Linked DNA regions of Xenopus tropicalis. The protein of the gene in region 7 interacts with the protein of the main gene of each other region in a biochemical or structural test. Links are inferred from orthologs where the notes say so. Each region holds a gene or a part of one and is shown on either strand. Other genes may lie near its edges. The genes, in order: tanc1, frmpd4, asnsd1, mapk12, gucy1a2, slc16a7 and sntb1.

Region 1 (4,217 bases), on a different chromosome or scaffold from region 7:
CACCCATTAGGGCTGATTCACTAAAGTGCGTTAAAACATGCGTTATTTATAGCATGCATAAAAAATGTTATCGCGTCTAATTTTTCGCGTCTTAGCGCACGATTCACTAAAAGGATATTTGCGCTAATTTACGCGCGATACTGCTTGCGTTATTTTAGTCACGAAGACTATTTTCATGCAGTATTTGATGGAACGAGCGCTAATCAACGCACCGCGTATAAATAGTTGCCGCGTGTGAAAAAACGCACGCCATGTTAGCCGTACATGCCAATACTTTCGGAAAATTACTGTACTGAAAATGCCCATTTCCCTGCAAACTGGCGGCTGCATCACTCTGGGGCCAACACAGACTTGAATAAATCTCACTGCAAAGTCCATATTGTGTTGCCAAAAGCTCATTAACTGTACTTTTCTATAATTACCGCCTGCCTCAAGTAGGTGTTAATTTTCGCACAGACTAATGCGATATTTAGCGTGTCTCAGTGTTTGTGAATCATGCGTTAGTATTTATTTCTGCTTGCAAATTAACGCATGCGGTAGCGCGAAATTTAACGCATGCGATATGCGACTTAATGCACGCGATACTATTGTAGCGAATTGCGTGTTCATTTTTGTGTCTATTTTAACGCAAAAAAGCATGTGATAAAAATTAACGCACTTTAGTGAATCAACCCTATTGGCTTTTGTTGTCTAATTCCCGTGACTTCTAGAAGGAAACTTATAGTTACCATAACTGGAAGTGGAGTGGATCAGGGCTCTAGAACCTGTGGCAAGAAATGAGGTCCAGGAGCCGCTCCTCTATCCAGTTGTAGTGAATAAACCTAATTTACCATGATGCAACCTAGTGATGGTCAGCATTGGCCCAAATTCCTCAGCTTTACCGCAACCAGTATCATGGAGATCCCTATTGCTGGCATCAGTGACAGGGAGGGATCCTATTATAAGGGCAGGCACAGGAACTAAAGCAACAGGTCCAACTGACCCAAGCCAAGCCATTGACCTAAGCAGCCCATAGGAGGACCTGGCACACTGGGAACCAATTTGTCTATTGTACAGCAGCAGTTTACCTTGAATGAAATGTTAGCTTGATGCATGTTGTATTCAGAAATGTAAAACAAAATGACAATGGCATTACATATCCTGTGCATCCAGGGACAGAGTAGTCAGAATTTGTTTTAAAGTAAACTCTCCTATGAAGGAGTATAATATAATATTTTGTGCTGATTCCTGAGAGGTGGGGAAGCAGATTGTGCTGCACTGGCCTTTCCTTGTTCGGGTGTAGCTCTCAGAGCTTTGGCATCTGATACAAGACATGCAAATGGGAGTCATTTTAAGTTCCGCTTCCCATAAAGCTGCTGTTTCCCCCGGGGGAAGTTCTGTCACTGTCACAGTGTAATATTTACTTATCCAAACAGCTCCCACCGACTCCCCCCTCAGGCACCTCTGCCTTTCACTCTGCCTTTAGCTCTACCCTTAGCTCTGGGCTGTGCCCGATAGCTGGATGCGCCACCTATGGTTGCTGTTGGTACTGCAGGAGGCGGTGCGCTGGTGGGAGAGTTGCGCTCTCTGAAAGCCGCCTGGTGGGACAGTTCTGCCGGAGGGAGACGGGCTGAATCCGGCGGGATTAGCTGCTGTGCGCTGGGAGGGAGGGAGACCAGGAGCCTAAGGAGGAGGAATAGCGGCACCGGAGAGAAGTCCGGAGTATAGGGACACGAAAAGAGCCGACTGTCGTGGCGGCGGGAGAGGGTAGAAAGTTAGGAAGGAAAGGTAAGAAAAAGTGATGATTTGCTGCTGCCACTGTGGGGCAGGGGAGAAATAGAAGGCAGGGGAAGGTACGGGAGCAGTCAGAATGTAGGCAGGGAAAGTACGCGAAAAGTGAGTATAAATGGCCGGGAAAGTTGGGTAATACTGTAGGGAGGGCAGAATTGTGGGAAGGGAAAGGTGAGGGGCAATTGATGGCAGTGTAAGTAGGGGATAAGGATACGTAATAGTGTCGGTAGGAGAAGGGGAAGTGTGGGCAGGGGAGAAATAACTGTGTGGGCAGGGAGTTATGGGGATAAGTACTGATAGCATGGGCAGGTAGGTAGGGGGAAATAACTGTGTGGGCAGGGAGTTATGGGGATAAGTACTGATAGCATGGGCAGGTAGGTAGGTAGGGGAGAAATAACTGTGTGGGCAGGGAGTTATGGGGATAAGTACTGATAGCATGGGCAGGTAGGTAGGGGGAAATAACTGTGTGGGCAGGGAGTTATGGGGATAAGTACTGATAGCATGGGCAGGTAGGTAGGGGGAAATAACTGTGTGGGCAGGGAGTTATGGGGATAAGTACTGATAGCATGGGCAGGTAGGTAGGTAGGGAGAAATAACTGTGTGGGCAGGGAGTTATGGGGATAAGTACTGATAGCATGGGCAGGTAGGTAGGTAGGGAGAAATAACTGTGTGGGCAGGGAGTTATGGGGATAAGTACTGATAGCATGGGCAGGTAGGTAGGTAGGGAGAAATAACTGTGTGGGCAGGGAGTTATGGGGATAAGTACTGATAGCATGGGCAGGTAGGTAGGAGGGGAATAACTGTGGGGGCAGGGAGTTATGGGGATAAGTACTGATAGCATGGGCAGGTAGGTAGGGGGGGAATAACTGTGGGGGCAGGGAGTTATGGGGATAAGTACTGATAGCATAGGTAGGTAGGTAGGGGGGAAATAACTGTGTGGGCAGGGAGTTATGGGGATAAGTACTGATAGCATAGGTAGGTAGGTAGGTAGGTAGGTAGGGGGGAAATAACTGTGTGGGCAGGGAGTTATGGGGATAAGTACTGATAGCATAGGTAGGTAGGTAGGTAGGGAGAAATAACTGTGTGGGCAGGGAGTTATGGGGATAAGTACTGATAGCATGGGCAGGTAGGTAGGGAGAAATAACTGTGTGGGCAGGGAGTTATGGGGATAAGTACTGATAGCATGGGCAGGTAGGTAGGTAGGGAGAAATAACTGTGTGGGCAGGGAGTTATGGGGATAAGTACTGATAGCATGGGCAGGTAGGTAGGGAGAAATAACTGTGTGGGCAGGGAGTTATGGGGATAAGTACTGATAGCATGGGCAGGTAGGTAGGGGGGGAATAACTGTGGGGGCAGGGAGTTATGGGGATAAGTACTGATAGCATAGGTAGGTAGGTAGGGGGGAAATAACTGTGTGGGCAGGGAGTTATGGGGATAAGTACTGATAGCATAGGTAGGTAGGTAGGTAGGGGGGAAATAACTGTGTGGGCAGGGAGTTATGGGGATAAGTACTGATAGCATAGGTAGGTAGGTAGGTAGGGGGGAAATAACTGTGTGGGCAGGGAGTTATGGGGATAAGTACTGATAGCATGGGCAGGTAGGTAGGTAGGGGAGAAATAACTGTGGGCAGGGAGTTATGGGGATAAGTACTGATAGCATGGGCAGGTAGGTAGGTAGGGGGGAAATAACTGTGTGGGCAGGGAGTTATGGGGATAAGTACTGATAGCATGGGCAGGTAGGTGGGCAGGGGAGAAATAACTGTGTGGGCAGGGAGTTATGGGGATAAGTACTGATAGCATGGGCAGGTAGGTAGGTAGGGGAGAAATAACTGTGTGGGCAGGGAGTTATGGGGATAAGTACTGATAGCATGGGCAGGTAGGTAGGTAGGGGAGAAATAACTGTGTGGGCAGGGAGTTATGGGGATAAGTACTGATAGCATGGGTAGGTAGGTAGGGGAGAAATAACTGTGTGGGCAGGGAGTTATGGGGATAAGTACTGATAGCATTGGCAGGTAGGTAGGCAGGGGAGAAATCCAGCAGGGCATATGGGTGGAAGGGACAGTGGGTGGGTGGCACCAACATTACACCTATTATATACGGAAAGGGGTAGGGGTGTCTGGGGGCTGTCAGGATAACTTTCCTGGAGATATTTTTTTATTATTGCGCAAGGGCAATTTACCCTTACTAATGAGGCATTAGAGCAGATTCACCATTCTCCTTTTTGTATCTTTTCCCTTACACCAACTTTTCCTCCACTAATTGGCAAGGAGCAAACCAGGATATCTGCATTTATCAGTGCTCATGTTAATGTCTCATTAGTAAATGCAATTAACTCGCTGCAATTTTATCATTTTCTTTAATAGAATTGCACCTCCTCCCATCGGTCTGTTGCCTCCAGGCTGGGCAGTGTGCTGCTATAAGAGCTTGGAGATCCAGTGCCCAAACAGT
Region 2 (3,235 bases), on a different chromosome or scaffold from region 7:
AACCAAACAGACATTCTCAGCATGTCTGGATCTAGTGATGACATCATAGACCTGACATCACTTCCTCCACCCGAAGGCGATGATAATGAAGATGATTTTTTGTTGCATTCGCTGAATATGGCGATTGCTGCTCCACCACCTGGATTTCGGGACAGTTCAGATGAAGAAGACTGTCAGAATTTGTCGAAACCCTCTGGAGCAGCTAACAGTATATCTCATGATGATATCCCTGTGTCTCTCATTGATGCAGTTCCTACAAACACAGATGAAAAACTTAAAACAATCCTGGAAGAAACAAGTGTTTCTGATCTTCAGACACTGCAAGATTTGACTGTCTCTGAGGAAAACCAAAGAGATGACACCTCAGGTTCTTTCACCATTGTAACTTTTATTCATTAGCATACCATTCCATCCATATGAATCATCACATATTTTTGTATTTTGTTTTTATCATGTTTCACATACAGACCACCTTTCATCGTATTCATTGGACTTAATTTTTAATTTATGTTTTTTTCACCCTAATCTTTTTTTATTAAACCGATTAAAAATATACTTAACACTTTAAATGGTATTTATGAAAAGTATAACCTTTATTAATATGCTCCTTTTTTTGTGGTGTACAGGTGTAACAATGTTAAGAGCATATAGTCCTGAGTCATCTTCTGATTCTGGTAATGAGACAAATTCTTCAGAAATGACTGAAAGTTCTGAATTAGCAACAGCACAGAAACATCCAGAAGTTTCAGCACGCACCATTTTGCCTGTTAGTGAAGATTACCAATCCCTGATGGAAGAGCAAACTGATTTTTCTGTTTCCAAGGGTCAAACAGGAAGTATAACTATCAAAGCCACACTGTCTTCAATAAATCGGCAAGCTGCGGAACTGCAATCAAAAGCTGTGCCTTCAAAACAGGTCATCCATTCGGATAACATTGAGATGGAACCAGAAACAATGGAGATAAAATCTGTGTCAGAATACTTTAATAAGGTGCACATGGGTACTCTGGTGTACTCCTGTAAAAAGAAGAACAAGCTACCAGATGCCGAGGCAAAATCGCATTTTGATGTAAATGTTATGGTTAAAAAGCAAATTGGCAAGAGACCAGAATCTGATGGTGAACTGAAATCCAAGGACTGTCAGCATCTGGCCAATTTTAACCTAGAAAGGACAGCTTTTCGTAAAGACAGTCAAAGATGGTATAATACTGCAGATAGAAGTGCAAGTGATAAGCTATCAACAGATGCTCACCATATTAAAACATTGCCAAGACTTTCTTGTGTTGGGAAAACAGAGACTGATATAATAGAAGAAATGAATGATATTACATTATCTGGACTTAAACAAGAAGATATATATATCTCAAATGCAAATTACATGTCTCCATCCAAAGAACATACTATCCCAAATGCTGATGATGCCTCAGCAGAACACATGTCTAAGCTTGTAGATCCTGGTGATAACCATATAGCCAAGAACATTTCATCTTTTCAGAGTGAGGGACATTTTTCTCTTCAGAGTTCCCAATGTTCTTCAGTGGATGCAGGATGTAGTACTGGTAGCAGTTCATGTGCAACCCCTGTGGAGTCTCCTCTGTGTACTGGTGACGTAAAACATATTCTCTGTGATGCATCAGTAAAGAGTGGTGTCTTGATTCCCCTTGATGAAAGATCTTCTATGCTTCCAAATCTTGGGGCACCATTTACAGAATTACATCAACAAACTGAAGCTGCTTGTCATAGAATGAGTGTGCCAGTTATGCATGCACCAGTCAATGCAGAGCCAGTGTTTGGCACTTTAAGAGATGGATGTCACCGTGTTTCAAAAATTAAAGAAACCACAGGTACATGACTATGTGCTTCTAATTTATTACTGCTCCCTATAAGTTTTAGTCATGTAATGGAATTCCATTTGTGAAATTTTAGTAGCTAGGATCTCAGTTAAAGAATTGTTATGGATCAGGATTATGTAAAGTTTATTGATGAAAACAATCCCCCAAAACAACAGCGGCCTTCTTTTTTTTTTCCAATCACGGTAGAGCTAACAAAACTGGCTTTAAATTAAAATGTATAACAGTTCAATTTTTCTCTAATACTGTAGTTAAAATTCTTACATTTAAAGCTGCATAAAATATATATCTACAAGGTACTGTGATTTTGCTTGGTCTCTTGACATAAGCTTTCTTTATTATCCCTTAATCTTTTTCTTAAAAAATGACATGGTTACACATATCTTAACTTAAAAATATTTATTTTTGTAAGGCTTTGGAGCATAAACATATTTTATCTAGAATTCATTTTAAAGGAGAAGGAAAGTGATTTTGGCATTTTACTGCCAATAAATTTGCCACATTAGTGCCACCTAGAACACTATATTTATTCTGCAGAAAGCATCACCATACCTGAGTAAAGAGCCCTAGAAGCTTTCTCTGTTTGTTTAAGATTTCAGCTGCCATTTTAGCTTGGTCTTCATAGCTTCCTGCTTGCAGCTCTAGCCTTTATAGCTCAGATCACACATTCCTAAGGGAGGGGGAGTGAGTTTTATGAATTCTTATGGGAGGGGGGAGCAGGAGAGAGGAGAGAACTGCGCAGACTCTGGCCAGGGAATGAAGGTTTTTTTCTGAGAGAGGATCAGATACCAGAAGAACATGTTAACAAAAAATGAGACAAGAAATCCTGTTTCTTTTGATAGAGGACCTTTCTGTGAGTGCTTATGGCTGTATTTACATAGACTTTTCTGATAAAGCTAAATTAGTTTTTACCTTTAAGAGAAGAACAGGCTGTAGTTACCGAGCCGACACAATACAATAAAATCTAGACCAATAAAAAATACATTTACAAAAGCTTTATATTAATAACTATGATGTCAATTTATTATATTAATAGCAGTTAGTCATAGGTTAATTTATTATATACTTCTGATAAAGCTAAATTAGTTTTTACCTTTAAGAAAAGAACAGGCTGTAGTTACAGAGCTGACACAATACAATAAAATCTAGACCAATAAAAAATACATTTACAAAAGCTTTATATTAATAACTATGATGTCAATTTATTATATTAATAGCAGTTAGTCAAAGGTTAATTTATTATATACTTCTTGATACAGGAGTGCAAACACACAGGATAAACAAACACAGATGGTAAATAAAGTGGCATTATCTACAGCAACTAAAGCTGAAGAAATGTGTAATACTATAGCGAAAAAATATTTATATTAAATAGATCTTCATTT
Region 3 (3,500 bases), on a different chromosome or scaffold from region 7:
GAACCTTCCCAGGAGTGGCCGGCCGACCAAAATTCCCCCAAGAGCGCAAAGACAACTCATCCGAGAGGCCACAAAAAACCCCAGGACAACATCTAAAGAACTGCAGGCCTCACTTGCCTCAATTAAGGTCAGTGTTCACGACTCCACCATAAGAAAGACACTGGGCAAAAAAGGCGCAAACCACTTTTAAGCAAAAAGAACATTATGGCTCGTCTCAATTTTGCTAAAAAACATCTCAATGATTGCCAAGACTTTTGAGAAAATACCTTGTGGACCGACGAGACAAAAGTTGAACTTTTTGGAAGGTGCATGTCCCGTTACATCTGGCGTAAAAATAACACAGCATTTCAGAAAAAGAACATCATACCAACAGTAAAATATGGTGGTGGTAGTGTGATGGTCTGGGGTTGTTTTGCTGCTTCAGGACCTGGAAGGCTTGCTGTGATAGATGGAACCATGAATTCTACTGTCTACCAAAAAATCCTGAAGGAGAATGTCCGGCCATCTGTTCGTCAACTCAAGCTGAAGCGATCTTGGGTGCTGCAGCAGGTCAATGACCCAAAACACACCAGCAAATCCACCTCTGAATGGCTGAAGAAAAACAAAATGAAGACTTTGGAGTGGCCTAGTCAAAGTCCTGACCTGAATCCTATTGAGATGTTGTGGCATGACCTTAAAAAGGCGGTTCATGCTAGAAAACCCTCAAATAAAGCTGAATTACAACAATACTGCAAAGATGAGTGGGCCAAAATTCCTCCAGAGCGCTGTAAAAGACTCGTTGCAAGTTATCGCAAATGCTTGATTGCAGTTATTGCTGCTAAGGGTGGCCCAACCAGTTATTAGGTTCAGGGGGCAATTACTTTTTCACACAGGGCCATATAGGTTTGGATTTTTTTTCTCCCTAAATAATAAAAACCCTCATTTAAAAACTGCATTTTGTGTTTACTTGTGTTATCTTTGACTAATAGTTAAATGTGTTTGATGAGCAGAAACATTTAAGTGTGACAAACATGCAAAAGAATAAGAAATCAGGAAGGGGGCAAATAGTTTTTCACACCACTGTATATCTTTCATAACTCTACCAGACTGCACTGTTAACATATATATGTTTATTTTTTGTTATTGTTACTGTACAATCAACACTGTCAAAACCTAATAAAAATATAAGTTACAAAAAAAAAAAAGAATACCTGATCCAATAGTCATACTGTAAAATAAATAGTCTAGGTTTGCAACCTACCTTGCTTCTTTTCCGTGGTCCCCAATGACACGGTCATCCCGACCAAGGTTTCTGTAAGCAATTCGGTCCAGTTCCAAGCTCAGTTCTTCCACGAGACCCTCATACCCAAGACTATTAAATCTTACACGGTGACGAGAATAGCCACCAAGTTGCTCATCTGCACCAATCCCTGTTAGCACAACCTAGAGAGAAAGTTAAGTAAAAATAACAGAATTGCGATTTCTCGTTGCTGTGATTTATGCCAAAGAATCACACATTAATGTTGAAGTAAAAAAATTAGTAATTTATGTTGAATAAGCACATATGTCCATAAAGTTTAACCTATTTGTCTAAATAAACTGTTGACCCAGAGGAAGGGAAAACACCATCTGAAAGGAGAAAAATTCTTTCCTGACCCCAAGGTGCCAATTGTACCGGTCCCTGATCAGCTTTGTATTTTATTCATAAGGAGTAGGCTGGGGAGGCACAACTCCCACCACACTGCCTAACTAGCACATTATACAGACTTACAATTTTCAAAAAGGTGCAGATCACCGCAATGGTCCAGTCGTAAGTGCTCAGTAAATGAGCCCTAAGAGGCAAAATATTGCACTTCTTGGTGCTTTAGTAATTGCATCTGGGGCATGGGTAAAATCATCATTATAGATTGTTGGTACCCAATATTATGCAATAATAAAAGCAAATCCCTTTAGCTATACTCAGCTACACAATAGGGAAAACCCATAAAAACACACTATGCCCTTCTAAATTTGTAAACTGTAAAATCAGTGTCTAGATTTAGCTGTTTATACTGGTGATTTGCCGTATAATAAGCACTATGTACATGTTTTGTGTTCTATTATGTTTATAGCCTACTGTGCTAATTATTTTACTGTACAAAAATAAACACTGCTGCCTGGGATTATTAGATATTCATAGGCTGGCTAATACAAAGCTATCCCATTTCACATATTCCCCTCTGCACATTGTAGAGAACCACCAGAAAACAAACAAATTATGGCCTTCCCATAATTTTGAGCTTTCTGTATAAGAGATCCCACACCTGTAGTGTGCTTTGTATTTAGCCCAATAAATTGTAGCATTTAAAAGTGGCTGTTTTCTTTCCCTCAATAATGTTTTAGGTTATTTGGATTATTACCTTTGACGTGCTATTGTAGGGCTTCATCTCATTATTACTCGTCAGCATACCTATTCCTCTTGAAGCAAACCAGACAGCACAGCCAATACTATCATCTAAAACAGTACTGAGAGGTCGTACCAAATAACAAATGCGGTGTTGCCTCATTTCCTGGAGTTCTTGTAGTGTAACATTAATTTCCACAAAATTCCAAGTTCTTGATGGGTTTAAAGCTTTGAGCTCTTCGAAACCTGACCTGCCAGTGATACGATCAGGAACATCAAATTGAGAATACGAAGTAGGACGGTCAGGGTTTGCAATTTGCAAAGTACACTTAGGTAGGTGTTTTTTTAAACCACTGGATTTTTGTTCTTTCATCATGAAGGCAACATTGAGAAGGTCAATAGGTTCCTCGGGTGGAACATGATGATCTGCAAGCACTGCTAAAATCATTGAGTCAATACCACCAGAAAACAGGATTGCAACATTTGCATTTTTTTCAGAATTTGACATTAAATTACATTCTCGCTGAAGACATAAAACCCTTCTCTTTACAGCTTCACTTAAAATTTTTATAAGAGACTGAGCATTTTTTTTGTGTTGGTCTGTGGCCAGCATCCTAAGATGTTCTACAGCAGTTTTGTTTTGAGAACTGATGTTATGCGATTTTTTAAACTCTTCAGGGATCTGTTTATTTAATGGAGAAACTGGAGCAGTTAACCATTTACTTTTTCCAAGTACAATAGAAACTAAAGAGGAAGATTTTAAAATCTGAGATTCTTTTGTTGGCAGAATATCTGAAGCAGTCTTCCAGGGATACCATGTTAATTCTATATATTTTAACTTGGCACTTGACTGTAGGTCACATCTGAAGAGTCCAGATGCTGGAACTTCCTGCCAATCATCAGAGTCTGATTCAGACCTGCACTCTGATACTGAACTTAGAGAGAAAACCTTGTTTAAATCGTCAGTGAATTTCCATAAAAGACTCCTCCTACCAAAAAAATCTCTTCCAAACCATAATTGGTGATAGTTAGCCTGATAGTAGATAAAGGCCCATGGACCTTTCACCTTAGCAAAGAGAGACATGATTTTGGATTCATCATCACATTTAGAGAGGTGCTGAAACATTATCTGAGTGTC
Region 4 (4,049 bases), on a different chromosome or scaffold from region 7:
CAGAACACATTTGAACCCAGCTTGATAAACACACAACTTCTTGAATAAATAAAAACATATTTTTTGACAACTGTTTGATTGAATTATAAGGCATGTTAAAGGCATAAAAATGCAGCATGTTGTGTTTAAGGAAATACATTGTAACGCAGCTGTGCTAAAATGCAGATCCTGATGCAGGCGGGTACAATCAGGCAAAATAAAGCTGAATCAAATCGCACATGAGTTTAGGCGTGCTTAATCTTGCATCTCAAACACTATATAAATAGTGTAAGTTGCATGCAGGACCTGTCTGTTCAGGGTGCTGCACATGAATATAATGTATAAACTACACTACAGCATCCAAGAATATCATGCTCCCTTGGGGCTGGGCCTGGTCCCTAATGGGAAATGATAGGTCATTAAAACCTATAGTTTCTTCTGCAGCTGTCAGGCTTAGAGTTTTGACTGTTATTTGGTTGCTATGGTTTAATTACCCTGCTGACCAGGAAGTATTAATCCAACCCCTTCACCAATATTCCTTGACCCTTGCATGTGGCGTTACTAAATATCTCATTTAATCTGCATTTTTGGTTATTCTATGGGAAAATATATTATTTGTGTCCCCTTAGGCCCCTGCTGCCAGCATTATGGTCACAACCCTTTTAGCTACTAAGCTACACCCTTACTTAATATTACAATGGGACCTTTTATAGCTTGTAATTGTGTCAAAAGAGTCTGTTGCATTTATAGGAGCATAACAATAGGCTGAGTTGGCTCTTTTGCCCCAAGATTATTTGGAGCTCAGCAGGGGCCTTTAATAATGGCAATTTAAATTTACAGGTACAAAAGCCTGTTCTAGATTTGGTACACTGGGACTACAGCCACATTGAGATATTACAACTGTGTAATCTAATTTCACAGACGAACAAATAATAATTACAAATAAGCATTAGTAATAATGTAAACCGAGTCTGATAAAAACCCATTGGGGAAGAATGAATTTGTTAGGTTGAACTGCCTAGTAGTAGCAGTGGGTTATTGAATAATAATTGAATAATGGCACTTCATGCCAAGAGAGGTCATAAAGCTTCACATTGAAAAATAATGCAAAGATCGTCTTCTTGTAGCGAAGGGTCATAACACGTATGAACGTGTGAGCGAATTCCCGGCCACATAACTTCCCAAATCACTTTAGGACTGTGTCGGACTAGAGCAGTGAGTGGGTTAAGTACTAATCTGCGCACTGGAGAAGGGAGGGGAGAAGGACTGGCCGGGTCACGTGACGGCACAAAGCTCCGGGCTCTATATGGGAAATACTTCCCGTCACTGGGCAGCTACTGTGCAGGCTGAGGGTGCGGGAAATACGCACAGTGGACAAAAGGAAAACGAAAGTGGAAGGCGAGAGCTGACCGAAGAGCGAAGACGCAGAAAGAGGGGCTGGTCGGAAGAGACTGTTCTACGTAAAGAAGGCAGCCGGTCCCTCATGGTGAATAAGAGCAGGACAAGTCAGTACTGCTCACCGTGACATTACTGTACCTCTCAGGAGAGCCGCCCAGTATCAGCAGTCAGGTGACTCTGCCTGGGACCCACATTCACATAGTACTAGTGCAACAGGAGCCTGCTGGCAACTAGTAGCCATGTCCACCTCCCCGTTGCCCAAGAAGGGATACTATAGGCAGGACGTCAATAAGACCGTCTGGGAGGTGAAGGAGAGGTACAGAGACCTGGTGGCTGTGGGATCAGGAGCCTATGGCACTGTTTGGTAAGTTGCAATGCTCCAAATATTCATGAAAGTTATCATTCATTGGACCAACACCTGTGGGTTTGTGTAATCTGTGCCAGGAATCACAGGAGCGGAGCCATATGTGTGCCAGCCCCTGCAGACTGCATTGGAGTCCTATATCATTGTAGTACTGTGAGTTAGGGTTTTGTATAATGCAGTGTATTCGATTTCAACTGGCACAAACAAATGATATTGCCATAGTACTCTACATAAGTTTCTATACCTGCCAGCTATATTGCCTTCAGCTTGCAAAAATGCTTGCTGGACCTAAAATGCTGTATTATGTCTCTATTGGCAAATGGAACAAACACAAGAACAAACACAAATTGCCAAGCTCAAAAATAGCTTGTGTACAAGCTGGGTATTCTATACATGCACAGCATTGCTAAAAAATAGGTCACATTTCTATAGAGCATTTCAGTACAAGTAAATTATATTTTTTGGCACTAATTGTCTAGTGGCAGTGTAGATTGCTCCATAGGGAAATTGTTCCCTGTTTTTCTGTCTTTTCAGACATGATTTCAATAATGCTGCTGGCTCTGGTACAAACCCCCGTGTGTATAGACCCATAGCTATACCCCATGATTATGGCACCCATGTGACATTTGTGCAGTGAACATGCAGGTAAAGACATCCCTTTTACAATTCTGGGGTTTTATTTGCATGTCTGTCATGTCTTAAATGTTCACCTCACTACCCCTTGACCAACTACCAAAGGGTTATGAGCCACCAGATGGTTGTATTGTGTTGCACTTGGCATAGCTTTGTGTTCCATTTTTGCTATATAACATTTCCTTGCTGCATAGAGAATTCTAGGCATATTACCTTGTTTATATGATTCCTGCATGATTCCTATATCACTAAGGTAAATATCCACAAACTTTACATGTTTTATGCGGGTTTAGTACTGTAAAATGGTGCAGATGAAATATGCCTCTATACCATTTACAATCTAAGCCCTGTCGCACTGAATTATGTGAGAGTATCATCATAGAGCATTTTGTAGTTTAATCAAATGTTTGAAATGAGTAATTGTCTATAAAACCGTGGGGATTAGCAATAAATAGTATGTTCCCTGGGTATTTTATCTTTATAATTTAGTACATAAACATTAATTTAAAGCTAAAATGTAGTTCTCTTTGTTCAGTTACTAATGCCCTTACTGCAGATGTAGAGAGTTGTAACATTTTACAGCCACCGCAATGCTACCAAGGATAAGGTACTGTATTGTTCACAATTTCCCTTTGCTTAAGTCTGTTGAAAAACTGATTTTCTGCTTTTACAGAATTAATTATTTCACATATTTAGAACAAGCCAAACTGTTGTTGCAACCGAGCAGGGTCAGGTCCAGGTAACATTCAAATGTCCCCTGGCTGACAGAATTGGGCAGCTAGAACCATATTTAGCATTCTATAAAAAAGCAACACAAAGGGACTGTTTATTTACTTCTGAAAACACTTTAAAAAGCAGTGTAAAATAACTGACACATTTATAAAGGCTTTAATTTTATTTTACACTGCCTGTTCATAATTAACACCACCATTATTTTTATGGAATTTCCCATTTAGGTCAATGGGAAACTTCTGGCAGAGCTAGAGTGTAAAGGAAAAAGCAGCAATGGATGATGGCTATTTATTACACGGCACTTTCAAGTGGCTTATTACTAAATATCTATGCATATTTTCTAGCTCTGGACAGACCAACTGGAGGCCCACTGTCTCCAAGTGATTTTTATGACCCACTCTAGCCTGCTCAAGGTCTGCATAGATCAGTCTGTGAGACATTATTACTTCAAAATAACTGGCAGACATTGCCCCTATTAAACTGTATCTTTTAATGTGTAATGTCTTTAAAGGATTTTTATTTTTAGGTTATTTCCACAGATTTTGTTGACTGGATCCTGTACCTAGTTAAACAGGCTGCACTTATTGGGAAATGGCTAACCAAGTTTGGGTGTTTTTCAGCAAGGCTAACAGACCCCCTGCCGTATACCCTCCTCAAATCATATAATAATCAAAATTAGAGGGGATTATAGGCAGTTGGGGGATGTTCTTTTTTCCCATAAAAACAATCAACGCACCAGAGGTCACCCCTTTAGATTAGAGGAATGGAGCTTCCATTTGAAGCAGCGTAGGTGGTTTTTCACGTTGAGGGCAGTGAGGCTGTGGAATGCCCTTCCTAGTGATGTGGTAATGGCAGACTCTGTTAATGCCTTTAAGAGGTGCCTGGATGAGTTTTTGAACAAGCAGAATATCCAAGGCTATTGTGATACTAATATCTACAGTTA
Region 5 (3,500 bases), on a different chromosome or scaffold from region 7:
GTCTTTTGGGACATGTTTTAGTAAGTTTTTGGGCTACATAAAAATATGAAACAACCAAAACCAGAACACTTTAATCTAACCCTAGTCAAATGAGACATATTTGTGGGACTCTGAAACAATGCCATCATAGAATACTGTCCGAGGGGGCGGAAGAGGGACAGCTTTTGACATACGAATAGCTAAACACTGTTCCTAGTACCCACTAGCACTGGGGAAGGAATGAATAAATGTGAATCTCTGACGTCTAATCTTCTGTGAGGGAGTAAAGCAATTTGCCTCGCAGCAGTAGATTTCCTGATATACTAAAGTGTGCCATTCTATTTATATCCATCAGGAAGTTAGACAGATTGTTCATTATCAGCATTGAGGAGACAAACAGGTCTGACATACGACACTATGAGGGTAGAGTACCCGCCCTAGCATATGTGTTTTAGCCAGGGCTATGTCAATCATTGGTTTTGTGAATAGGAAAGCTTTGGTTGTCTGCATTAAATTCTTTTATTGCTGGAAATACAAATAGTCGCGTGTTTCAGTGTAGAATTTTTGGGCAGCTTTATAAAGGGCTGAACTAGTCAGTGGCACTTCTAGCCTTCCTGGCAATGCCACCCCAACTTCTACTGTGCCAAAACAGGGGGCACTGGGTGCGGTATTGCTTGGGTAGAGAACTTAATTATAAAAATAGCAGAATTCTGGTTTCAAAAAATGTATATTTTGCTCTTAAAGTTATCAGGGTGATTATAAGGCTGATTTGTAATTAATACAGATAATTCCAACATGGCATCTCTGAAACCAGTGCAATTAGCATCAGAATTTAATGATCAGCCCTGTAACAGCAGCTTATATGACAGGCCAGCCTCATTTTCTGCTTGATGATTTGCGACTGCTGCTCAGAGCGCACTGAGCATGTGCAGTGTCCCAGAATGTTCTAACAGAATCCAGGATGGAGAGCTCCAGTGACAACTGTAAAGACCTAGATCCTTACTACTATAGAGATGCTGAAACTTTAAGCCAGTGCAGTAAGTTTAGTATATAAAATATGACCAATTTCTAGCCATATTTATCTTTAGGGTTTAGTTCTCCTTTAAATGGAGCATACATTAATTGCAATCCCATCCAAAAATCAATATTAAACAGCCTAATTGCCATTTTTTACTCTATTTTCTCTACAAAGGGGCTGCCATATTTGTGCAGCCATAATCTGTTAGCATTAGAAGCTGTAACTGTCAGGATGAGGAATTTCATGTAACAATTACAGGTATGGGATCTGTTATCCAGAATGCTTGGGACCTGGGGTTTTCCAGATAAGGGATTTTTCAGTAATTTGGACATTAAATAAAGCAAATGGGCTTGTTTTTCCTCCAATATGGATTAATTGTATCTAAGTTGGGACCAAGTATTACAGAGAAAAAGGAAATCATTTATAAAAATTTAAATTATTTGATTAAAATGGAGTCTATGGGAGACAGTCTTCCCGTAATTCAGAGCTTTCTGGATAATGGGTTTCCGGACAACTGATTCCATACATGTGCTTATAAAAGCCTATCAGTGAAAAACAATCAGCATGGCCTGTGGGTAACTTTCAATGCACATTAATATTTTGATGAGTAGTTTTTTTTAGTGTCAGTGTCACTTTAAAGGTTCATAAAAACGGTTGAACTCTATGACTGTTTCCTGACATGTATCAATTGGCGAGAATGATAATGCTACTAAGAAACTCATTTTGCTTGCAGGTATAAAGTTTGAAGAACTGCAAGAGAGATTTGGTGAAGAATTCTTCAGTATCTGCTTTGAGGAGAATGAAAGGGTCCTCCGAGCAGTGGGAGGTACACTACATGACTTTTTCAATGGGTTCGATGCTTTATTGGAACACATTAGGACTTCAATTGGAAGACAGGTGACTCTTGAATCTCCATCTTTCCTATGCAAGGAGCTTGCCGACGGGACCCTACTACTTAGCTGCTTCCATCTTCATCATATTGTTGGGTTTGCCATGAAGGGTTTGATAAAGGCAGCAGGAAAGAAAATCTACCAGTTAAAGGTTGAGGTGGAACAAGTGAACAATGTGAATGAAAAACCTTGCCCCGATATCATAAGACCGGGTAACTTTAACTGTCTTACTTTTAAAATTAAAGAATGTGATAATGCAAATCTCATGAAAGCACCTCTACTGCAATCATCCCACATCCCATCAGATTTGAGGATAAGTATTAGCACTTTCTGCAGAGCTTTTCCTTTCCATTTGATGTTTGATCCAAACATGCTGATTCTGCAGCTCGGAGAAGGACTCAGGAAGCTGATAAAATGTGAGGTCCACAAAACGATGCAGTTTCATGACAGTTTCGAAATAGTGTCTCCAAAAATCAGCTGCACGTTTGAACAGGTCCTCTTGAGGCTGTCCACCCCCTTTGTCATACGGAATAAACCAGATGCACCCACCTTTGAAAATAAAGACAAGGTAAGGGGCTTATATTCTTTAACCTTCTAAAAGTACATGTGGTAAAATAAATTGTACATAATGTAAAGGATTTGTATTTCAAGAAATGAAATAAAATTGGATGGCTCAAGGACAGGTTGGTGGACAGGCCTTTATACAGGATGTGTGCATACAATTTACTTTGAGAAGATCAATATTCAAGGCATTGTATGCGGCCGTATAATGGCATGGTACCTGATACTTTGAACTTCGGAGTCTGTGGACTTTTTGTGCTCTGGTCCCCATTGGTAGAACAAACCTTTCTCAGGATCCCCTTAACCTCAAGTACCCCCCTTCAAGTTTGGTCAAATTTTCAGTGGATCGAGCCCCCTAGAGTAGGTAATATGATGATCTACAAGATCTGTGCACTTGTCTATGATGATTCTAATTCATCCAGGTCATGATATACAGTATCTAGTAGAATTAAGTCTAAAACAACTGGACTTTTCTGAGTTTTTCTTGAAAACGTTTCACCACTCATCCGAGTGGCTTCTTCAGTTCAAATGACTGGTAGGGAATTCCCCGGTACTGTACTACCATCAAGAGTTTAAATACCGGGGAATTCCCTACCACTTCTTTGAACTGAAGAAGCCACTCGGATGAGTGGTGAAACGTTTTTAAGAAAAACTCAGAAAAGTCCAGTTGTTTTAGACTTAATTTTACTAGATACTGTAAATCGTGACCTGGATGAATGAGAATCTTCATAGACAAGTACACAGATCTTGTAGATCATCAGTTGTTTTAGACTTAATTCTACTAAATACTGTATATCTGTGCACTTCCAATTGTCTACATAGTAGTACTAATTTAGTGACCAAAAATATGCAGTTTGCCCATTTATTTGTACTTTGCACATTATTTTGAATGCCTCTGAGGAAGTTAAATCAATGGCGAAATGGGTAGGGCTGCATACGTGAACTGTAAGAGGTGACTAGTCCCTTTCAGTTCTAAGTAGACAGTTACCCCCATATGTAGTTAAAGGTACTAAGTTTTCCCAGGAGTAGTAGCCCATAGCAACCAATAAGAT
Region 6 (3,500 bases), on a different chromosome or scaffold from region 7:
ATAGAAACTTATGCCCAGTTTGGGCTATTTGGTAAAAAAAGAAGCTTTCAGGAAAGCTTTCTTCCTTGAACAAATGGTTATGTTGCCACTCAAACAAAACAATAAATAATCTCATAACCTTTTAGAGGTAACTACTACTTTGGTCTTACTGTGAAATAATCCATAAGTGAGTAGCTCTTTAGAGGTATTGCTTGTTTTATAACTTTGCAGAAGAATTTACCACTGACATGTTTGTATGGAATCCTTCACAGGTAAGCATACGCATTTCTCATTTAAAGAATAAAATATTTTGGTATAGAAGTTGTGAATGACCCTTTGTGTCAAGTAATTAAAGTTTACATTGCTGTTTACATAAAGCTATGCTTCATATTTTCTATTTTTAAAACATCAGAATATGATTTTTTTTTCAGAAAAAGGATTATTATATACCTCTTAATGTTCTCTGGAACAGTCAGAACTGTGAATCATCTTGGGCATTGGTAGGCATAATTGGGCAAGACAAATGATATCCGGTGTTTTGACTCTTCTTCAGGCTCACTCACCTTCCAAAAATCAAACAATAAAAGAAAAGCAACTCTTATAGTGTTGTATTTTTCCTTATTAGTTATGTAACCAGATATGTAGATTTAACAATTTTTCTAATGGACACCAGTGGGTTTATATACCACCTACAGGGTAGGGTTATTATATTGCACCATAGTTACACGTGTAACTATGTTTGAGAGCTTAAAGACCACTAACTGCTGGCTGGGGCATTAACAAAATTGGGATGTTTTTCTGATATGCATTTACAACTCAACTAAAATGTTGTGTAATTTTAATCTAAAATAGAATTTTTAAAAGGTATTTTACACTATTTTAGCATTTTATGTATTACACCTATAATCATAAGGTTAAAAGGGGGATCCAATAAAGAAGATTTAATTCAGTTTATCCTGAAATTGAAAGATCTGCATAGTCAAGGGGATAATGAATACTGCCCATTGAAACCTATATGAGGTTATGAAGCAGTAACCCCTAGCAACCAGTTAGCAGGTAGCAATTACTAGTCACCAGGTGGAAAGCAAACATATTCTGTAAATACACATCTACCATCAGTGGATGGTAAGATATATATAATTAACTCTGGTGGCATAGTATAACAACCCTACTCTGGAGGTGGTATAAAAACTCACTGGTGTCCATTAGAAAGACAATGTCAAATCTAGACATCTGGTTACATAACTAATAAGGAGAAATACTATACTACACTATAAGACTTAATTGCTGGCCTTTCTCTTAAGCTTTTCAAAATGCTGGCTAGATTTAATAACTATTGACACTGAAAAGTAGGCAAGAGCTAGAAGGACTGGGGACATGACTTAAAATATCTTGATTTTTATGCCTGGAATACTGGGGGACTCTAATATTAGGGTTATGCTCAATGAAGAATTTCCAACTAAGATGTGTTTTATTATTTTACCCCACAGGTTTTGGATTAGCATTTAATCTTCAGCCTTCTTTAACAATTATCGGAAAGTATTTCTTCAAAAAGCGCCCCATAGCAAATGGACTTGCCATGGCTGGGAGTCCCGTGTTTTTAAGCACTTTGGCTCCACTGAATCAATTTCTTTTTAATCAATTTGGATGGCGGGGTAGCTTTCTAATCTTAGGAGGTCTTCTGTTAAACTGCTGTGTGGCTGGCTCCCTCATGAGGCCAATTGGACCAAAGCCTGTGAAAAAAGATATTGAAAAAGCACCAAAGGATGATGAAAACCACAAGAAAAAAGAATCTGTTTGTCAAAGCATCAACAAATACTTAGATTTATCACTTTTTAAGCACAGGGGATTTCTAATTTATTTATCTGGAAATGTTATCATGTTTATTGGCTTTTTTGCTCCTATTGTTTTCCTTGCCCCCTATGCAAAGCATATGGGTATAGATCAATACTCATCTGCTTTTTTGCTGTCTATCCTAGCTTTTGTAGATATGGTTGCCAGACCAACAATGGGAATGGTTGCAAACACTAGATTTATACGTCCCAGAATTCAATATTTTTTTAGCTTTGCAATTTTGTATAATGGTGTCTGCCATCTTTTATGTCCATTGGCCAATGATTACACTGGCCTAGTGATTTATGCTGTCTTTTTTGGATTTGCATTTGGAATGGTGAGCAGCGTCCTGTTTGAGACACTAATGGACATTGTAGGAGCTGCAAGATTTTCCAGCGCTGTTGGACTTACAACAATTGTGGAATGCTGCCCGGTTTTGATTGGGCCTCCATTAGGAGGTAAGAATTCCTGTTGATTAAAAAAAAATATATATATATATATATGTATACAGCATATTATGACAAAGGGTTTATAGATTAACCAGTGATTTTCCAGTAATGTTTCAGTAAAACATAGTATAATAGAATATTCATTTCACATCTAAATTAACACTTTGATCTAATTCTGCTGAGCAATAATGAAAGCCGCAAAAAAGTCTAAACTTAAGAACAACAACGTTTCTTGCTCTATTCACCCAAGGCACTTTACGGCAAGACGTAGTCAGTGTGTTTCCCATTGCAGTATCTACAAATAGAAGGGGCTGGCAACTTAAATACATTTTGACACTTTCCCTCTTTTTCTATAAGCAGTGATTTGGCTTTTGAAGTCAGTTTTTCCCAAAGTACTAGGATATTCAGACTTTTAAAAGTAATGCAATGTAGTTTCTGAGGTTAAGGGTGCTTTAAATATTGCAGTTCTTCTTGAGAGGGTTGTGGCTAAGAACACCTTGGGGTTTATACACTTAAATGAGAAGGAAATACATTTTGGCATTTTATTGCAAATAGATTAACCACAATAATGCAAGCTAGAATGCTATATTTATTCTGCAGAAAGCTTTACCATACCTGACTAAACAGCCCTAGAAGTTCCCTGTATTTGCTTAAGATAGGAGCTGCCATTTTAGCTTGGTCTTAGTAGCTTCCATGGTGCAGCTCTAGCTGCTGATAGCTCAGTTTACACAGAGATGGGAGGTGGGAGCAAATTTTGATGGGAGGGAGAGGAGGAAAAGGGAGGGGGAGAGAGGAGCAAGATGAGCAGACTCGTGCCCATGCACTGAAGGATTTTTAAAAGTGTAAAAATTTGACCACTTGGCACTGTTTTCCCAAAATAGTGTTTTGTTTTGTTTTTTACAGAATGTCTCCACAAAAATTGCACCAACAATACAGAATTGGTTGTGTAATATATGTTATTTACGAACCAGCAGAATATTCCTGCTCCTATTTTTTTTCTCCTAAACTCCTCTCCTGAGCTCTGCTTAAAGGAACAGTAACATCAAAAAATTAAAGTGCTTTAAAGTAATTAAAATATAATGTGCTGTTGCTCTGCAAAAAACTGGTGTTTTTGCTACAGAAAAGCTACTATATAAATAAGCTGCCGTGTAGCCATGGGGGCAGCCATTCAAGCTGGAAAAAAGGAGAAAAGGCACAGGTTACATAGCAGATAACTAGTAGATAAGCCCCATATAATGG
Region 7 (4,102 bases):
CCCAGGCTTCCCCAAGTTTCGCTCCGCCCCGCAGGAATCGGCAGCAGAGAGATTAGTTGGCACCGGGACTGCCCGGAGAAGGTCCTGCCCGCACCCACTGGCTATGGGATCCAGAGCCCGGGCATGGCGGTAGCTGCAGCAGGAGCGCTCCGGAGCGGCTGGCTGGAAGTGCTGGTGCGGGGCCGCTGGCACAAAGTTCTGGGCAACTTGTATGAGAGCTCCCTGGTACTGAGCAGCCCGGAGCGGCCGGAGGATGCCCCCAGCTCTAACGGCATGACCAATGGCACCAACAGCAGCCCCCAGGGGGTCCGGACTGCCTTCACCGAACTGCCCGACACCGTGCCGGAGGCCATTGCCAACAAGAAGAGGGCAGTCAAGGTGGTCAAGCAGGAGCTGTGTAGGGCCGAGTGTATTGCCCAGTGTAGGGCCGAGTGTATTGCCCAGTGTAGGGCCCAGTGTATTGCCCAGTGTAGGGCCCAGTGTATTGCCCAGTGTATTGCCCAGTGTAGGGCCCAGTGTAGGGCCCAGTGTATTTCCCTGTGTAGGGCCGAGTGTGGGGCCCAGTGTAGGGCCGAGTGTGGGGCCCAGTGTATTTCCCTGTGTAGGGCCGAGTATGGGGCCCAGTGTAGGGCCCAGTGTATTTCCCTGTGTAGGGCCGAGTGTGGGGCCCAGTGTAGGGCCGAGTGTAGGGCCCAGTGTGGGGCCCAGTGTGGGGCCCAGTGTATTTCCCTGTGTAGGGCCGAGTGTGGGGCCCAGTGTAGGGCTGAGTATGGGGCCCAGTGTAGGGCCCAGTGTATTTCCCTGTGTAGGGCCGAGTGTGGGGCCCAGTGTAGGGCCGAGTGTAGGGCCGAGTGTAGGGCCCAGTGTATTTCCCTGTGTAGGGCCGAGTGTGGGGCCCAGTGTAGGGCCGAGTGTGGGGCCCAGTGTAGGGCCGAGTGTGGGGCCCAGTGTAGGGCCGAGTGTGGGGCCCAGTGTAGGGCCACAGGCAGAGGGGCATATTCCCAGCGCTGTGCGGGTTACATCGGAATCCCAGACCCCTACAGCTGCAGTTCCCCGCAGCGCCGGCAGATGTCAGTGTGCGCTATGGCTAATCCGGCAGAGCCTCTAATGAGGAAGAAGGCAGAGTGCTGCCTGGGCTCCCGGTCCGTTCCGAGCAGTAAGAAGTTAGTGCTCTGCCTTCCCTGGCACAGCCCGGTGCCCACCCTCGGCTCCACACTGGCATGTGTGACTTGTTGGCCTCTGTTGGCTCAGCGCTCCCAGGCTTCCCCAAGTTTCGCTCCGCCCCGCAGGAATCGGCAGCAGAGAGATTAGTTGGCACCGGGACTGCCCGGAGAAGGTCCTGCCCGCACCCACTGGCTATGGGATCCAGAGCCCGGGCATGGCGGTAGCTGCAGCAGGAGCGCTCCGGAGCGGCTGGCTGGAAGTGCTGGTGCGGGGCCGCTGGCACAAAGTTCTGGGCAACTTGTATGAGAGCTCCCTGGTACTGAGCAGCCCGGAGCGGCCGGAGGATGCCCCCAGCTCTAACAGCATGACCAATGGCACCAACAGCAGCCCCCAGGGGGTCCGGACTGCCTTCACCGAACTGCCCGACACCGTGCCGGAGGCCATTGCCAACAAGAAGAGGGCAGTCAAGGTGGTCAAACAGGAGCTGGGGGGGCTGGGCATCAGCATCAAGGGGGGAAAGGAAAACAAGATGCCCATTCTCATCAGCAAGATCTTCAAGGGGCTGGCAGCGGATCAGACCCAGTCCCTGTATGTGGGAGATGCCATCCTGACTGTCAACGGGCTGGATCTGAGGGATGCCACTCATGATGAGGCGGTGCAGGCACTAAAGAAGGCTGGCAGGGAGGTGATCCTGGAGGGTAAGTCTGGGCATTGGGCTATGTATGTGATATAGGCTGGTCACACAGGTGGCACTCACATTCACATTCTTCTACTTTCAGTCTTGTGTATGGCAGCAACCTTGTAGCACAAATATAGGGGTGTCCTACCCACAGGGTGTCTGTAATGTGCCACAGATTCACCAACACTGACTGTACAGCTAGCACAGCAACTTCTATACTTATAGTAGGGAAAATAGCCCCTGGGAAGGGACTGGGGCTGTGGGATAGCAGGTATAGTGGGGAGAGATGGTGCCTATAGTAGCAGTGGGATAATAGCCTCTGGGAAGGGACTGGGGCTGTGGGATAGCAGGTATAGTAGGGAGAGATGGTGCCTATAGTAGCAGTGGGGGGATAATAGCCTCTGGGAAGGGACTGGGGCTGTGGGATAGCAGGTATAGTAGGGAGAGATGGTGCCTAGAGTAGCAGTGGAGGGATAATAGCCTCTGGGAAGCGACTGGGGCTGTGGGATAGCAGGTATAGTAGGGAGAGATGGTGCCTATAGTTGCAGTGGGGGGATAGCCTCTGGGAAGGGACTGGGGCTGTGGGATAGCAGGTATAGTAGGGAGAGATGGTGCCTATAGTAGCAGTGGGGGGATAATAGCCTATGGGAAGGGACTGGGGCTGTGGGATAGCAGGTATAGTAGGGAGAGATGGTGCCTAGAGTAGCAGTGGAGGGATAATAGCCTCTGGGAAGCGACTGGGGCTGTGGGATAGCAGGTATAGTAGGGAGAGATGGTGCCTATAGTAGCAGTGGGGGGGATAATAGCCTCTGGGAAGGGACTGGGGCTGTGGGATAGCAGGTATAGTAGGGAAAGATGGTGCCTATAGTAGCAGTGGGATAATAGCCTCTGGGAAGGGACTGGGGCTGTGGGATAGCAGGTATAGTAGGGAGAGATGGTGCCTATAGTAGCAGTGGGGGGATAATAGCCTCTGGGAAGGGACTGGGGCTGTGGGATAGCAGGTATAGTAGGGAGAGATGGTGCCTATAGTAGCAGTGGGGGGATAATAGCCTCTGGGAAGGGAGTGGGGCTGTGGGATAGCAGGTATAGTAGGGAGGGATGGTGCCTATAGTAGCAGTGGGATAATAGCCTCTGGGAAGGGACTGGGGCTGTGGGATAGCAGGTATAGTAGGGAGAGATGGTGCCTATAGTAGCAGTGGGGGATAATAGCCTCTGGGAAGGGACTGGGGCTGTGGGATAGCAGGTATAGTAGGGAGAGATGGTGCCTAGAGTAGCAGTGGAGGGATAATAGCCTCTGGGAAGCGACTGGGGCTGTGGGATAGCAGGTATAGTAGGGGAGAGATGGTGCCTATAGTAGCAGTGGGGGGATAATAGCCTCTGGGAAGGGACTGGGGCTGTGGGATAGCAGGTATAGTAGGGAGAGATGGTGCCTATAGTAGCAGTGGGGGGGATAATAGCCTCTGGGAAGGGACTGGGGCTGTGGGATAGCAGGTATAGTAGGGAGAGATGGTGCCTATAGTAGCAGTGGGGGGATAATAGCCTCTGGGAAGGGACTGGGGCTGTGGGATAGCAGGTATAGTAGGGAGAGATGGTGCCTATAGTAGCAGTGGGATAATAGCCTCTGGGAAGGGACTGGGGCTGTGGGATAGCAGGTATAGTAGGGAGAGATGGTGCCTATAGTAGCAGTGGGGGGATAATAGTCTCTGGGAAGGGACTGGGGCTGTGGGATAGCAGGTATAGTAGGGAGAGATGGTGCCTATAGTAGCAGTGGGGGGATAATAGCCCCTGGGAAGGGACTGGGGCTGTGGGATAGCAGGTATAGTAGGGAGAGATGGTGCCTATAGTAGCAGTGGGGGGATAATAGTCTCTGGGAAGGGACTGGGGCTGTGGGATAGCAGGTATAGTAGGGAGAGATGGTGCCTATAGTAGCAGTGGGGGGATAATAGCCTCTGGGAAGGGACTGTGGCTGTGGGATAGCAGGTATAGTAGGGAGAGATGGTGCCTATAGTAGCAGTGGGATAATAGCCTCTGGGAAGGGACTGGGGCTGTGGGATAGCAGGTATAGTAGGGAGAGAATTTTATTAAAATATATTTAACAAATACAATAAAACAATAATTACATTTCAATCAAGCAAAAAACAAAAACCAAAAAAACATATAAATCAATATTACATCAAAAACAAAAAATACCTTCCTGCAAAGCATCTTATTTCTTACAGATCATTATAAAACACATATCAAGAGGCATCTTTATGTTTC

The links.
Region 1: the proteins of sntb1 (region 7) and tanc1 interact in a test that uses a peptide from one of them, tested with the Homo sapiens proteins (2 studies listed by IntAct, with this or other methods). The link is inferred for Xenopus tropicalis from reciprocal best matches to the Homo sapiens genes SNTB1 and TANC1.
Region 2: the proteins of sntb1 (region 7) and frmpd4 interact in a test that uses a peptide from one of them, tested with the Homo sapiens proteins (2 studies listed by IntAct, with this or other methods). The link is inferred for Xenopus tropicalis from reciprocal best matches to the Homo sapiens genes SNTB1 and FRMPD4.
Region 3: the proteins of sntb1 (region 7) and asnsd1 interact in a test that uses a peptide from one of them, tested with the Homo sapiens proteins (2 studies listed by IntAct, with this or other methods). The link is inferred for Xenopus tropicalis from reciprocal best matches to the Homo sapiens genes SNTB1 and ASNSD1.
Region 4: the proteins of sntb1 (region 7) and mapk12 interact in a test that uses a peptide from one of them, tested with the Homo sapiens proteins (2 studies listed by IntAct, with this or other methods). The link is inferred for Xenopus tropicalis from reciprocal best matches to the Homo sapiens genes SNTB1 and MAPK12.
Region 5: the proteins of sntb1 (region 7) and gucy1a2 interact in a test that uses a peptide from one of them, tested with the Homo sapiens proteins (2 studies listed by IntAct, with this or other methods). The link is inferred for Xenopus tropicalis from reciprocal best matches to the Homo sapiens genes SNTB1 and GUCY1A2.
Region 6: the proteins of sntb1 (region 7) and slc16a7 interact in a test that uses a peptide from one of them, tested with the Homo sapiens proteins (2 studies listed by IntAct, with this or other methods). The link is inferred for Xenopus tropicalis from reciprocal best matches to the Homo sapiens genes SNTB1 and SLC16A7.

Annotation. Positions count from the first base shown.
Region 1 is NC_030685.2:73,467,259-73,471,475, reverse strand, and holds the start of tanc1 (protein TANC1), read left to right. Parts: upstream 1-1,417; 5' UTR 1,418-1,767; intron 1,768-4,132; 5' UTR 4,133-4,217. UniProt on the Homo sapiens protein: May be a scaffold component in the postsynaptic density.
Region 2 is NC_030678.2:106,170,728-106,173,962, reverse strand, and holds part of frmpd4 (FERM and PDZ domain-containing protein 4), read left to right. Parts: coding exon 1-367; intron 368-626; coding exon 627-1,844; intron 1,845-3,235. UniProt on the Homo sapiens protein: Positive regulator of dendritic spine morphogenesis and density. Required for the maintenance of excitatory synaptic transmission. Binds phosphatidylinositol 4,5-bisphosphate.
Region 3 is NC_030685.2:47,714,720-47,718,219, forward strand, and holds part of asnsd1 (asparagine synthetase domain-containing protein 1), read right to left. Parts: coding exon 2,379-3,500; intron 1,423-2,378; coding exon 1,241-1,422; intron 1-1,240.
Region 4 is NC_030679.2:71,612,651-71,616,699, forward strand, and holds the start of mapk12 (mitogen-activated protein kinase 12), read left to right. Parts: upstream 1-1,249; 5' UTR 1,250-1,616; coding exon 1,617-1,741; intron 1,742-2,275; exon of another isoform or gene 2,276-2,386; intron 2,387-4,049. UniProt on the Homo sapiens protein: Serine/threonine kinase which acts as an essential component of the MAP kinase signal transduction pathway.
Region 5 is NC_030678.2:160,383,158-160,386,657, forward strand, and holds part of gucy1a2 (guanylate cyclase soluble subunit alpha-2), read left to right. Parts: intron 1-1,730; coding exon 1,731-2,455; intron 2,456-3,500. UniProt on the Homo sapiens protein: Has guanylyl cyclase on binding to the beta-1 subunit. Isoform 2 acts as a negative regulator of guanylyl cyclase activity as it forms non-functional heterodimers with the beta subunits.
Region 6 is NC_030679.2:63,059,274-63,062,773, reverse strand, and holds part of slc16a7 (monocarboxylate transporter 2), read left to right. Parts: intron 1-1,469; coding exon 1,470-2,270; intron 2,271-3,500. UniProt on the Homo sapiens protein: Proton-coupled monocarboxylate symporter. Catalyzes the rapid transport across the plasma membrane of monocarboxylates such as L-lactate, pyruvate and ketone bodies, acetoacetate, beta-hydroxybutyrate and acetate.
Region 7 is NC_030682.2:138,721,935-138,726,036, reverse strand, and holds the start of sntb1 (beta-1-syntrophin), read left to right. Parts: upstream 1-1,311; 5' UTR 1,312-1,378; coding exon 1,379-1,862; intron 1,863-4,102. Other genes in the region: uncharacterized protein LOC116411753, read left to right, coding at 124-469, 1,034-1,311. UniProt on the Homo sapiens protein: Adapter protein that binds to and probably organizes the subcellular localization of a variety of membrane proteins. May link various receptors to the actin cytoskeleton and the dystrophin glycoprotein complex.